Macaca mulatta: one gene and its partner. The protein of the gene in region 2 binds, or shares a complex with, the protein of the main gene of each other region. Links are inferred from orthologs where the notes say so. Each region holds a gene or a part of one and is shown on either strand. Other genes may lie near its edges.

Region 1 (7,495 bases), on a different chromosome or scaffold from region 2:
TGCCTTCTTCCTTCTTGCCACAGGACCGCCTGGCCCGGTGCACCATGCATTGCAACGACAAAGCCAAAGATTCAATAGATGCTGGGAGTAAGGAGCTTCAGGTGAAGCAGCAGCTGGACAGTTGTGTGACCAAGTGTGTGGATGACCACATGCACCTCATCCCAACTATGACCAAGAAGATGAAGGAGGCTCTCTTATCTATTGGGAAATAAAAGTCTTTGCCAGTGGCCATCGGGGCTGAGGGCAAGAATATATTTTTTATAAGGAATTGGGAATTTTAGTCTTTTAAGCAAGGTTTACAAATGAAGAAATGAAGGATGGCCACAAGTGTAAGGCATATGTCACTTGCCTCTGGACACTGGTTATTTTATGTTTCAGTCCTAAAAAAAATGAAATGGAAAAAAGTGGTGCTAAATCGGGTCAGAGAGATTACAGGAGAGTTTTAGAGCTTATTATTTCCTGTGGCCAGCGCTTGTCCTGGCAATAAGGCTCTCCCCTGTAACAAGCCAGAGCCTTCCAAGGTACCAGACTTTTCTTACTGCACAGGTAGTAACAGGCTGGCAGGTTAGAGTTGGTGGAGTCTGAGAAGAAATATTTTCTCTTTGTTGCCAACATCCTGTTTACCAGAAGTGTCACCATACCATTTTCCATAAGCTGTGAAACAAAATCAATGAGGTCACTAACTTAGAAGGGAAAGAAAGTTTTCTGGGTCTTTGTTTTATAGGTTTTGGGTAATTTATACAAGGACATACAAGTTGATCTTAAGATGTGGAATTGGGAGGGAGACTAGTTTGGATAAGAACTTTGAAAGGTTCCTTGTGGATCCCCATTTCTGGTCATCAAGATGTGGATGTATGTTTCTTAAAGTTATTACATGCTGCATCTTTCAGCCTGGAGACCATGCAGAAACATGAGAGGTGATGACACACTAATTATGGGAAGCAGAATTACTGGCTGATGGCCCCTGAGGCTGTGTATAGCAAAATGTCAGGACAATCCTGCAGTAACACTTTTCCCTTGAAGAGAAGGGGGTTTTGATTGTGATATATACTAGTATCTAGGAATGAACAGTAAAAGAGGAGCAGTTGGCTACTTTATTACAACAGAGTAATGAAGTACTGGATTTGGAAAAACCTGGTTTTATTAGAACAGATGGAATGAAAGCCTAAACCTAACATTGCCTACTTAGCCCCCTGAATTAACAGAGCCCAATTGAGACAAACCCCTGACAATAGGAATTCAAGGGAGAAAAAGTAAGCAACTTGGGCTAGGATGAGCTGACTCCCTTAGAGCAAAGGAGAGGCAGCCCCCATTACCAAATACCATTTTTGTCTGGGGCTTGTGCAGCTGGCAGTGTTCCTGCCCTGGCGTGGCAACTTACTGTTTTGATAGCAACTTCGTTGTATTTTCACCAACTTATTACTTGAAATTATAGCCTGTCCATTTGCTGTTTCTAGGCTGTGACATATTTTCTTAGTGGTTTGGTTTTAAAAATAAATAAGGTTTAATTTTCTCCCCACTATTGTGTTTTCTTTCCTTATATCTGGGCAGTGAATATATAACTTTCTCAGGATGCTTCTCCTTTTAAAAGGTTAAATGAGTTTAAAATGTCCAGAAGAGCAGAAATTAGTTGTTATGGTTCAGATTCAGAACTGGTTCATTGTAAACGGGAAAAACTTTGAGAGGAGACTAGGACATTGTGACTCGAAGTTCATTAATGTAGAAAAGAAATTATCTATGAGGCTAAAAAGAGAAATTCATTATCTATGTCAGTCTCTAGCTTCAACTAAACACTAATAGCAAGTGGTAGTAAAGGTACAAAGCTATGACCCTGCTAGAAAAAAATAGAGTGTCTAAGATTTTGAGTACTAAGAGAGTGCAAAATATGTGATGAGTTTAAGTCTTTACTATCATTGGTATTTAAATAGAGTCATTCCAGAATATCAGGAATTAACTGAATTTTTGAGAACCATCCCCTATTTAAAATCAACACGGCATTCTATTTTGGTTTAGTCTTCTATAATCCGTGCATTCTCCTATTTTGGGGTAACATAACTGGGAACAAGTCCGAGGCCACTTTTTACACATCTTGACATGAAAAAGGAATACCTTGTATTAGAGAATGTTTGTGTGCTGCACTTCACGTTTTATATACGGGGCAATGGCACATCAGTGAGTTCTGGAGGTAATGTTTGAAAAATTGCAGAACTGCCAGGCATGCTGGCTCATGCCTGTAATCTCAGCACTCTGGGAGCTGGAGGCAGGCGGATCTCTTAAGGCCAGGAATTCGAGAACAGCCTGGGCAACAAAGCAAGACGTCGTCTCTACAAAAAAAAAAAAAAAAAAAAAAAAAAAAAAAAAAAATTAGCTGGGTGCAGTGGCTTGCGCCTGTAGTCTAAACAACTCAGGAGGCTGAGGTGGGAGGATTGATTGAGGCCAGGGGTTCGAGGTTGCAGTGAGCCATGATCACATCATGCATCCCAGCCTGGGTGACAGAGCAAGACCTCATCTCAAAACAAAAAAAAATTTTTTTTTGCAAGACCCATCAGTCGGAAATAGATTGAAATTCTTGGAGACAGGCCCAGTCACCTTACTCTCCAAATGGTGCAGAGGCTGCTAATTTGCATGTTACCGGAACCCTACTTGGTCTGAAAGTATGCTGTAGGATACCTGCCAAAGAAATATAGAGGCCCGGCTGGGCGCGGGTGGCTCACGCCTGTAATCCTGGCACTTTGGGAGGCCGAGGCGGGCGGATCATGAGGTCAGGAGATCCAGACCATCCCAGCTAACACAGTGAAACCCCATTTTTACTAAAAATACAAAAAATTAGCCGGGCGTGGCGGCGTGTGCCTGTAGTCCCATCTACTCAGGAGGCTGAGGCAGGAGAATGGCGTGAACTCAGGAGGCGGAGCTTGCAGTGAGCCGAGACCGAGCCACTGCACTCCAGCCTGGGGGACAGAGCGAGACTGTCTCAGAAAAAAAAAAGAAATATAGAGGCCCATTCCTCCAGGGATCATTATTTGGTATTTTGGTTTAGATGAAGAAAACAAGCGATACGATCCACAGACATGCGGGATTTGCCGGGTTTGCCCAGAAGTTAGAGAGGGGACTGTTATCTCAGTATTTCAATTTTATTTTTTAAATAGAGGAGGGGGTCTCCCTATGTTGCCCAAGCTGGTCTCGAACTCCTGGGCTCAAGAGATCCAAAGTTCTGGGATTTACGGCGCCAGGCTTTTTTTTTTTTTTTTTTTTTTTTTTTTTTTTTTTTGGCTGTTCCATAGACAAGAACACGGATACTCCATCGTCAGAATACCCGTTATCTCAATTTTGCCCAAGGAAAACCGAATTTAGAAAGGTGCCTAGAGGGCCCACCCCTCTGTCCTGGCCAATAGCTGACGACGCAACCGGAAGCTCAGCAATGACCGAGGCGCTCAGATATCGCGATGTGAAGTGTTAAAAACTGCCAACAATCGATTGGCTAACTAGGTCGATGACGCCAAACGCAAGACGCCGGGCCTACCGCGGGAGCCTGAGGGAAGCCGTGCATTCAGTTCCAAGGCGTCTGTGAGTCCGCGGAGTATACGCCATGAGCAAAGCTCACCCTCCCGAGTTGAAAAAGTAAGTATGTGTGAGAGCCAAACCGAAGTGGTCGCTTCTTTGCGTCCCCCGAGTCCCTTGGTGTTTCAAGCCGAATGGCTTGAGCCGCTTCACCTTATTTCTTCTTCCGGTCCGAGGTCGCCGGCATCCCGGCCAGGCTCCGGCTCATGAGACGTGAAGCCCGCGCAGAGCTCGCGCATTGGCGTGGTTACCGCCGGCAGCCACCGCACCTCCTTCTGGCCGACTAGTCTCTCTGTCCCGCGCTCCGGCCCCTAGTCACCCGGCGCTGTCCCTCGTTCCTTGAAGATCTCCAATGCCAGCTTTTGTTGAACATCTCTAATAGCATCATATTCTAGATAGACGGCTAGAGGGGGAAATTCTCTAAAGGAACTAAGGAGGGGATGGAAGGGAAGTGTTTTTAAAACTACGTGAGGCATCGGAATCCAAAAGCCACTTTAGCCTTAGAGAATGTGTTTGTAGGTGTTTCTTTGAGCTTTTACTTAGAAACCTCATTCTTTTTTGTTGCCTATTTTTACATTAAGCTTGAATGTCATGTGTTATCTTGCTCTGATATTGAAACTATGTAAGAACATTCATTTCTAAAATTAATGTTCTAAAAAATAAAATTTTTTTTAGAACATTAATTTTTTTCTAATCAGAGAAGGCTAATTTTTTTAAGTTTCTTTTACACACCCAGTAAAGACAAACAACTTTAAGGAGGAGAGCCTTAATTTATGTAGGACTCAACGTAAAACTTTAAACTCCTCAAATACTTTTTGACTGGACTTAACAGGTTATGTGTTTCCTCAGTACGTCTCTGTTTTGCTTGTACTCCCTGATGCTGGAATTCTACATGTATTTATTGGATTGCACAGAGGATGCAAAATTTTTACAGGAATCAATTTTTTCTGGTGTAGCATGTGGTTGGCTTTGTGTATAGTTCATTTATTACCAGGCCCCTGGAAGTCAGACATAAGGAAAAGTTCCTATTTAATAATTTTGCGGCCAGTGGCGGTGACTCACGCCTGTAATCCCAGCACTTTGGGAGGCCAAGGTGGGTGGATCACCTGAGGTCAGGAGTTCGAGACCAGCCTGGCCAACATGGTGAAACCCCCCGTCTCTACTAAAAATACAAAAAATTAGCCAGGAATGGTGGCACGCGCCTGTAGTCTCAGCTACTCGGGAGGCTGAGGCAGGAGAATCGCTTGAACCCGGGAAGTGGAGGCTGCAGTGAGTCAAGATCTAGCAATTGCCCTCCAGCCTGGGCAACAAGAGCGAAACTCTGTTTCAAATAATAATAATATTGCATTTAAAGGTATATTTGTATCAAAGCCATCTTTTGTATGAAAACTACTTTCATGTATATTTTAGTTAGGTCTGTTAAGGAATTAATTATTAAAACATAGCCCAACGTTAGAAAAATAGAAGTTAGAAATTATTGTGAAAATTACTCTTTTTATCTGAAAGTTATTTTATTGGTGAGTTGGTGATGTAAGTATCCTCTGGATTCATCAGGGACTGGTGAAATGGTGATTTTTCTTTTTTTAAACAAAAGCACCATTCTCTACTTGTAATCTAAGATTTTATTTGTGATTCATAACATAGTTTTTGAAAATTTCAGAGAAGGAAGCTAGTTTTAATACCTTTCTCTTCTCATCCATAGGTTTCATGAATTGTGAAATCCCGTGAGATCTGCCGTCAAAATGACTTTCAAATTTTTTCTTTCTTTGCTTTCTCACTGATAGCATCTTCTTTTACACCATTATGCCCTCCTTCTGGCTTAGCGTAACTCAGGGGTTCTTAAATGGGGGGTAAGGAATCTGGTGACACCAGGGATGCTGCTAAACATCCTACCGTTATTCGGCTGCCCCCAACAATACAAAATTACCTGGTCCCAAGTGTCATTAGTGCAGAAGTTGAGATACACTGGCTTAACCGAATTCTTCCTTCCACTTCTTAAAATTTGCTGCCACAGTGGTCTTGCCAGTGACAGCTTTAATAATTTATCACAGTATGCAAAACTGAATCTATACTTAAGCCAGCATTCAAACGCCAAACCTTACAGCTGCTAATACTCACGTGTTCTCTTCTCCAGTCAGACTGAACTATTTGTGTTTGCTCTCACTTGCTGTGTGACTTCGAAAAATTGATTTACCTTTTCCAAGCCTAGTTCTCCATCTGTAAAAACGGTAGAAATGACAGACCATAATTGCATGCAAAGTCATTGTAAAGATTGTATAAGATCTTGTGTTATATTTGATATGTTTTATGTATCTTATTAAAATAGTTTTGTTCATCATACTTCATAAATGTGTGTATATATTATATATAATATGTAATATATATTACATATATAATTTTACATATAATATTACATATATATTACTTTTTTTTATATATATACATATATATATATATATATTTTTTTTTTTTTTTTTTTTTTTTTTTTGAGATGGAGTTTCACTCTTAATTCCCAGGCTGGAGTGCAATGGTGCAATCTCGGCTTACCGCAACCCGTGCCTCCCGGGTTCAAGCAATTCTCCTGCCTCAGCCTCCCGAGTAGCTGGGACTACAGGCATGCACCACCACACCCGGCTAATTTTTTTTTTTTTTTTTTTTTTTTTTTTTTTTTTTTTTTTTAGTAGAGACGGGGTTTCTCCATGTTCATGTTCATCAGGCTGGTCTTGAACTCCCGACCTCAAGTGATCCACCTGTCTCAGCCTCCCAAAGGGCTGGGATTATAGGCATGAGCCACTGCACATGGCCCATAAATATATTTTCACTTGTAAATGTATCTACTCCCTCCTTCAGTCATGCTCCTTGTTTTATATTTACATTCTCCCATGATAATCCTATACATTAAAATTGACTAAGTTCCCCACTTCATGGCCCATATACTAAACTTTTTTTTTCCATTTTTTTATATTTTAAAATTTGAATGAAATTTCATGTTTTCTGGCCTATAAATGGAAGAGGTTAAAAACTGGTTTGACTGATGGCTTAGTATTCTCGTATTCCACTAAAATAGAATTTTCTTTTAATTCATATTGTTTGAAGTTTCAAATGTGCATTTATTATACTAAAGTATACTTAAATGTTGAAGACTACCCTGAACATTTATGCTTGATGCTTTAATATTAAATGAACACTATTTATCTCAAATATAAAATACTTGTTGAATTGGATATGATTTGATTACTGTTTGCTGTCTTTACAACTTAGTTTTGGAAATAACCAAATGTAGGCAAGTCTTTGTTTTTCTCTTATGACTATAAAATCCAATCATTGAAAATTAGGTTAGCGAGACCAGATGTGGTAGCTCATGCCTGTGTAATCCCAGCAGCACTTTAGGAGGCTGAGGGGGAGCATATTTTTTGAGGCCAGGAATTCAAGACCAGGTTGGCAACATAGTGAGACTCCATCTCTTTAAAAAAAAGAAAAAGAAAGAAAGAAACTTCGGTCAATGAAACAACATAGTATTGAACAATAAGAATGTTTTCATAATTCACATTAGTATATGTAGATTAATATAGTTTTTTTTTTTTTTTTTTTTTTTTTTTTTTTTTTTTTTTTTTTTTTTGAGACGGAGTCTTGCTCTGTCGCCCAGGCTGGGGTGCAGTGGCCGGATCTCAGCTCACTGCAAGCTCCACCTCCCGGGTTTACGCCATTCTCCTGCCTCAGCCTCCCGAGTAGCTGGGACTACAGGCGCCCGCCACCTCGCCCGGCTAGTTTTTTGTATTTTTTAGTAGAGATGGGGTTTCACCGTGTTAGCCAGGATGGTCTCGATCTCCTGACCTCGTGATCCACCCGTCTCGGCCTCCCAAAGTGCTGGGATTACAGGCTTGAGCCACCGCGCCCGGCCAGATTAATATAGTTTAAATATATTTCATTTTTATTG
Region 2 (7,454 bases):
AATCTCTTGACCTCATAATCCGCCTGCCTCGGCCTCCCACAGTGCTGGGATTACAGGCGTGCGCCACCATGCCCAGCCTGAGGAGCTGAATTTTTAAATTTTATTTAATTTTTTTTCATTTTTAAGGGTCTTGCTGTGTTGCCCAGGTTGGCCTTGAACTCCTGAGTTCAAGTGATTCTCCTGCCTCAGCCTCCCTAGTAACTGAGCCCATGCACTGCAGGGCTGGCTATTTAATTCTAAATAGCAACATTCAGGCATTATTCATTATCTAGGGGCTCATTGATATCATCACAGGTTTTAGTTTTTTAAAAACTCTGTCCTTGGTTGGGCACAGTGGCTCCCTGTAATCCCAGCATTTTGGGAGGCTGAGGTGAGAGGATCAATTTATTCCCAGGAGCCTAAGGCTGCAGTGAGCTAGGATCACACCACTGCACCCCAGCCTGGGCAACAGAGCAAGATCCTGTCTAAAGGAACAAAGAAAGCAAGAAATAAACAACACTATGTCCTGAGATTGATTCTTCTCCTGGTTGTAAGGAAGTTCCCAACAGCTCCAGGGGTTACTCCGTTTCCATTCATAATCAAAAGAAAAGAACTTTCCCTCCAAAGGTCCGACTGGATCAACTTAGATCCCAAACCTACTGTGAACAAGTAATGGAATGGACTATTAAAAGGGTAGAGTCAGCTTTCTTAGGACCACAGGGATCAACAGAAGAATATTAGGAACATTTGGAAAGACAAAGGGATCGACGTTGAGAGGGCAACACACAAATATCCATTTTAGCCTTGTTACTCAAATTGATGTGCATAGAGTAGGGGCAGCTTCATCAGCTGAAGGCTTTTTAGAAATGCTGAATTTCAGGCCCCCCCAACAACTGAATCAGATTTTCATTGTAAAGTTTCCAGGCCAGGCGTGGTGGCTCAAACCCGAAATCCCAGCACTTTGGGAGGCCAAGGCAGATGGATCATCTGAGGTCATGAGTTCGAGACCAGCCTAGCTAACATGGTGAAACCCCATTTCTACTAAAAATACAAAAAATTAGCCGGGTGCAGTGGCATGTACCTGTAATTCCATCTACTTGGGAAACTTAGGCAGGAGAATCATTTTAACCCAGGAGGCAGAGGTTGCAGTGAGCTGAGATCATGCAATTGCACTCCGGCTTGGGCAACAAGAGTGAAACTTTGTCTCAAAAATAAATAAATAAATAAATAATAAAGTTTCCCCAGGTGAGTCCTACACACATTAAACTTTGATAAATATTGTCCTTTTTTCTTCTTCTTTTTTTGAGACTGAGTCCTGTTCTTTTGCCAGGCTGGAGTGCAGTGGCACGATCTCCACTCACTGCAACCTCCGTCTCCCGGGTTCGAGCAATTCTTCTGCCTCAGTCTCCCGAGTAGCTGGGACTACAGGCATGCGCCACCATGCCCAGCTAATTTTTGTATTTTTAGTAGAGATGGGGTTTCACCATGTTGACCAGGATGGTCTCAATCTCTTGACCTCGTGATCTGCTCATCTTGGCCTCCCAAAGTGCTGAGATTACAGGCGTGAGCCACCATGCCCGGCCGATAAGTATTGTCTTACAATATCTAAGAGTTCTGTTGAGCAGAGGTGAAGTCTGGACTAGAGATATAAATTCAAGTTATGGTTTTGGAGGAGATTACCAGGTTAAAAGAAAAAGTATACATAAAGGGACTACAGCTGCAAGCCGGGAAGCACTCTGACATGTATTGGCTCCATAGAGAAGGAGGAGCCAGCTAAGGAGATTTAGAAAGAGTAGTTAGAGGCTGGGCATGGAGGCTCTGGGCCTGTAAACCCAGCACTTTGGGAGGCCACGGCAGTGGAATCTCTTGAGCCCAGGGGTTGGATACTAGCCTGGGCAACATAGTAAGACCTCTTCTCTACGAAATAAAAAATAAAATATTAGCTGGGCATGGTGGCATGCACTTGTGGTCCCAGCTACTGAGAAGGCTGAGGCAGGAGGATTGCTTGAGTCCAGGAGGATCGGTCAAGGCTGCAGTGAGCCCTGATTGTGCCATTGCACTCCAGCCTGGGCAACAGAGCGACAGACCTTGTCTAAAAACAAAACAAAACAAAACAAACAAGAGTAGTTAGTGGGATAAGGAAAAAGGCCAGGTGAGCTTGGCATCCTGAAACCTGAAAGAGGTAAGGGGAGTGTTTGTGTTAAATCTTGATGAAGTTCACACCTGTAATCCTAGCACTTTGCACTTTGGGAGGCCTAGAGAGGCAGATCACTTGAGGTCAGGAGTTCAGGTCATCCTGGCCAACATGGGGAAACCCTGTCTCTACTAAAAAGACAATAATTAGCGGGGCGTGGTGATTCCCCCCTGTAATCTCAGTTACTGGAGAGGCTGAGGCACGAGAATCGCTTGAACCGGGGAGGCAAGGGTTGCAGTGAGCCAAGATCGTGCTACTGCACTCCAGCCTGGGCGACAGAAGGAGACTCTGTCTCAGAAAAACAATAAAAAATTTTGAGGAGATGTTGTGAAAGATGAAGATTGAAAAGTTTGTCTTATAGATCGGAACTTAAAGTGAAAATAATCCGCTACATTGTGTGATTTTATTTTTTTATTTTTATTATTTTTTGAGACGGAGTCTCGCTCTGTTGCCAGGCTGGAGTGCAGTGGCGCGATCTCGGCTCACCGCAACCTCCGCCTCCTGGGTTCAAGCGATTCTCCTGCCTCAGCCTCCCGAGTAACTGGGACTACAGGCGTGTGCCACCACGCCCAGCTAATTTTTGTATTTTTAGTAGAGACAGGGTTTCACCATGTTGGCCAGCACGGTCTTGATTTCTCGACCTCGCTATCTGCCCGCCTCGGACTCCCAAAGTGCTGGAATTACAGGCGTCAGCCACAGCGCCCGGCCCATTGTGTGAATTGCTTCAGGTACATTAAGTAATGCTAAGGTTCCTGGCGTTGGAACAGAATTAGCATAATCCTTTGGGCTTCTCTAAGAACTTATTTTCGTTCAGTGAGGAATTTATATTAGGTGCTGCACTCACGGTGCCCTGCTATTCAGAAACGTGATGGTGACAGTACGTGTGTGTGTGTGCGCGCGCGCGCGCGCGACGGAGTTTCGCTCTTGTTGCCCAGGCAGGAGTGTAGTGGTGCGATCTCGGCTTACTGCAACCTCTGCCTCCCGGGTTCAAGCGATTCTCCTGCCTCAGCCTCCCGAGTAGCTGGGATAACAGGCGCCCGCCACCACATCCGGCTAATTTTTTGTATTTTTAGTACAGACGCGGGTTTCACCCTATTGGCCAGGCTGGTCTTGAACTCCTGACCTCAGGTGATACCCCCGCTTCGGCCTCCCAAAGTGCGACAGTCCTATTAATTGGATTTAATCTCTTCGAATCTCCCTCTCTTGTGGGACACTTTTCCTCTTAGACCAGCCCTCAACACCCTCAGTCGTGGCAAGGCAACCTCCAGCCGCCAGGGGCCGCAGTCGCGCTCCTCGCGACCGGAAGAGAGTGCGGCCCAGCGCAGCCTCGGCGTTTCCGCCGTGCGTCTGCTGTGCTCCGCGCGCCCTTTACGACCGGAGTCCCTGGAGTAGGCGCTTCCGGCCATTCATACTGCAGTCGGTCAGTATTCGGTTGTTGGATTCTGTGCGCTCTCGGACCCGAAGGGTGACGGCGCCGCTAGGATGAAGCTCGTGAGGTGAGGGAGTGACCAAGCAGCTCCGGGGGCTGTGGAGGGAGGGCTTGGCCCGGAGTCCGGAAGGCTGGGCTCTCCCATTTGCAGGAGGCGGGAAAGCCGCGTGTGCGCGGCCTGCTAACGGCCGGCCTTACTGCGCCCGCAGCTCGTGCTCGGGCCTGGGCTTCCGCCTGGGTCGCTCGCGAATCCCGCGTGTCTTCCAAGATACTGGTATAAAGGCCGAGCCTTTTCTTCCCGCCTAGTGACTTAGAGACTTTCAAGGTACAGCGCCGCCTGGGAGACATCTCGCCCTTACAGTTACTGATTTTCTTTTTGAGTGGAGCTCCAGCCCTACTTAAGAGTACTTAGAAAGCTGTATGAGCTTATCTGGAAACAAACCTGTTTGCAAACTGTTTTAAATCAGAGAAGGACTTCTGGCTTCACAAGTTTTTGTTTTTGTTTTTGTTTTAAATAAGACGGTGTCTCACTTTGTTGACCAGGCTGGTCTCGAACTCCTGGGCTAAAGCGTTCTGCCTGCCTTGCCCTCCCAAAGGGCTGAGATTACCGGTGTGAGCCACTGCGCCCGGCCGATTTTTAAGTTTATCTTTTGATTCTCCTTAGACTTATGATTGATTATTCTACCTCTTTCCTGTTAAGGTAAGCTTTTTATTTAGGAAAATCTCCCAATATAGGGCAGAAATTATCACAACGTAATTGTGGCTGATTACCCAGATGATATATAGTTATTCTGTTTTATTTCTTTCGCGAGAAATAGACCCTGTCACTTAGGTGAGTCTTCTGGAGACTAATTCCAAACTACCTGCGAGTAGATTTGGTTTTGGTCTTTTTCCTTGAGACTGAGCCTGGAACAGAGGCAGACGTTTCTAATAACTAAGCCATCGATTATAAATATTTAGCTTGTTTCTTTCCTGTTGAGTCAAGGATTGTCATTATCCGCTAAATAGTTATTGGGCACCTGTTACCTACTGGGCGCTGGTAATAGTATTTTTTAAAAGGCAGATCCTTGTTGGAGCTTTCTAGTTAGGGGGATGACAGACAAGTAGATAACGTCTGAAATAACGTTTGTTTGAAACGTTTTAAATAACACATAAAAGCCTTCAATATTCAGGGAGGAGGCCAGGCGCAGTGGCTCACGCCTATAATCCCAGCACTTTGGGATGTCAAGGCGGGCAGATCACTAGGTCAGGAGTTCGAGACCAGCCTGACCAACATGGTGAAACCCCGTCTCTACTAAAATTACAAAAATTGGCCGGGCGTGGTGGCGCGCGCTTGTAATCCCAGCTACTGAGGAGGCTAAGGCAGGAGAATCGCTTGAACCCAGGAGGCAGAGGTTGCAGTGAGCTGAGATTGGCCACTACGCTCCAGCCTGGGCAACAGAGCGAGACTCCGTTGCAAAAATAAAAAAATAAAAAATAAAAAATTCAGGGAGGAGTTGGTACAAAAGACAATTAAGATTAATTTTTGTTGTATTTTTATTTGAACTATAATTTTGGATAGGAAGTCATAGAATTTAAAGTGCATTTTTTAGGCTGGACGCGGTGGCTCACGCCTGTAATCCCAGCACTTTGGGAAGCTGAGGCAGGCGGATCGCCTGAAGTCAGGAGTTCAGGACCTGCCTGGCCAACGTGGTGAAACCCCGTCTTTCGAAAAAATACAAAAATTAGCCGGGCGCCTGTAATCCCAGCTACTCAGGAGGCTGAGGTAAGAGAGGCGCTTGATCCCGGGAGGTTGTAGTGAGCCGACGTCACACCACTGTGCTCCAGCCTGGGCAACAGAGCGAGACTCTGTCTCAAAAAAGAAAATTACAACATTTTTTGAAATTTCTCCATACCAGCCGGGCGCGGTGGCTCAAGCCTGTAATCCCAGCACTTTGGGAGGCCGAGACGGGCGGATCACGAGGTCAGGAGATCGAGACCATCCTGGCTAACGCGGTGAAACCCCGTTTCTACTAAAAATACAAAAAACTAGCCGGGCGAGGTGGCGGGCGCCTGTAGTCCCAGCTACTCCGGAGGCTGAGGCAGGAGAATGGCGTGAACCTGGGAGGCGGAGCTTGCAGTGAGCTGAGATCCGGCCACTGCACTCCAGCCTGGGCTTCAGAGCAAGACTCCGTCTCAAAAAAAAAAAAAAAAAAAAAAAAAAAGAAATTTCTCCATACCTGCTAATCTGAATCTTAATCTACTCATAGTTCAATTTTATGTAATACACCTTGGATTTCATTTGTTCCCTTTAAATATATTGCATGTTATGGCAATTTTCCAGTAATTTTTAATACCTGGACTGAATCCTGTTTTGTGTCTTAGGTCAAATATAGAAAGAAAATTTTTTTCTTACCAGAGAATGTATTTTTCCTCCAGAAAATGATTGTTTGACTAACTGGTTTGCGTTTTCAGTAGACTTATTTCTGTATATCAGTTGGTAGTTGTCATCCTTATTCTCACTGTCACCCTAACCAAAAACCTGGGAGGTGAGCTTGACTTTTTCTCTACTGATGTCCTTGACATTTGATACACTGCCAGTTTTACCTACTGCATAAAAGTGTCCCACATTTTCCTGTTTGTTTTTTGGGTTCAGATAGTGTGTTTTGATACTGAGGGACACCGTGTTATCTGACTATTTGATATCTAAGTTTCACTAAGTAGAAAGAATTCAGATACTGAAAGATTCGTCTGAAAATAAGTTGAATCCATTTGGTTCCTGGGTTCAGTTAGGGAGGGATAATTGTGTATTTGTCCTGCCCATAGTAGCCTCCTTTCGTTCTGGTCACCACCATTGAGGTTCAGGCCCTTTTTATCCCACTCATGGATTTTTGTTTTCCTTCTTTGAGGTAAATATCTTTTTTTTTTTTTTTTTTTTGAGACGGAGTCTCGCTCTGCCGCCCAGGCTGGAGTGCAGTGGCGGATCTCAGCTCACTGCAAGCTCCGCCTCCCAGGTTCACGCCATTCTCCTGCCTCAGCCTCCCGAGTAGTTGGGACTACAGGCGCCCGCCACCGCGCCCGGCTAGTTTTTTGTATTTTTTAGTAGAGACGGGGTTTCACCGTGTTAGCCAGGATGGTCTCGATCTCCTGACCTCGTGATCCGCCCGTCTCGGCCTCCCAAAGTGCTGGGATTACAGGCTTGAGCCACCGCGCCCGGCCGAGGTAAATATCTTAATACAATGAAATGCAGCGTATATTTCCTGCTATTGAAAAACATAAGCACTTTTGTAACCTAAACCCCTATCAAGAGAAGTAACATTACCAAAACCTCAGTTTCCTCAAGCCTTTCCCAGGCAACCTCTGACTCCATACCCCTAGATGCAACCAATTTCTTCCACCATACATGAATTTTGCCTGCACTAGAATTTCATGTATTTGGAATCACAAAGTATTTTTGTGTAAAACTCCTTTTACTCACATGTTTTTGAGATTCATCCACATTGTGAAGTGTATCAGTGATGTGTTCATTTTTATTACTGGGTATTAGTACCTTGTACGTTTGGAAGTTCTGTATTTTAGGCTGGGCACAGTGACTCATGTCTGTAATCCCAGCACTATGGGAGGCTGAGGCGGGTGGATCACTTGAGGTCAGGAGTTTGAGACCAGCCTGAGCAACATGGTGAAACCCTGTCTCTACTAAAAATACCAAAACAGTAGCTGGGCGTGGTGGCAGGGCCTGTAATCCCAGCTACGAGGGAGGCTGAGGCCAGAGAATCCCTTGAACCTGGGAGGTGGAGATTGCAGTGAGCTGAGATCGCACCATTGCACTCCAGCTTGGGCAACAGAGCGAGACTCCTTTCAAGAAAAAAAAGC

What was found.
Region 1: SNRPD1 (region 2) and SNRPG share a complex: the UniProt entries of both Homo sapiens proteins name them as parts of the SMN-Sm complex. The link is inferred for Macaca mulatta from reciprocal best matches to the Homo sapiens genes SNRPD1 and SNRPG.

What each region holds. Positions count from the first base shown.
Region 1 is NC_133418.1:54,433,725-54,441,219, forward strand, and holds the start of SNRPG (small nuclear ribonucleoprotein G), read left to right. Parts: upstream 1-3,498; 5' UTR 3,499-3,586; coding exon 3,587-3,618; intron 3,619-3,734; exon of another isoform or gene 3,735-4,065; coding exon of another isoform or gene 4,066-4,073; intron 4,074-5,260; exon of another isoform or gene 5,261-5,361; coding exon of another isoform or gene 5,362-5,408; intron 5,409-7,495. Other genes in the region: protein FAM136A, read left to right, coding at 24-212. UniProt on the Homo sapiens protein: Plays a role in pre-mRNA splicing as a core component of the spliceosomal U1, U2, U4 and U5 small nuclear ribonucleoproteins (snRNPs), the building blocks of the spliceosome.
Region 2 is NC_133423.1:70,796,161-70,803,614, reverse strand, and holds the start of SNRPD1 (small nuclear ribonucleoprotein Sm D1), read left to right. Parts: upstream 1-3,547; 5' UTR 3,548-3,655; coding exon 3,656-3,669; intron 3,670-7,454. UniProt on the Homo sapiens protein: Plays a role in pre-mRNA splicing as a core component of the spliceosomal U1, U2, U4 and U5 small nuclear ribonucleoproteins (snRNPs), the building blocks of the spliceosome.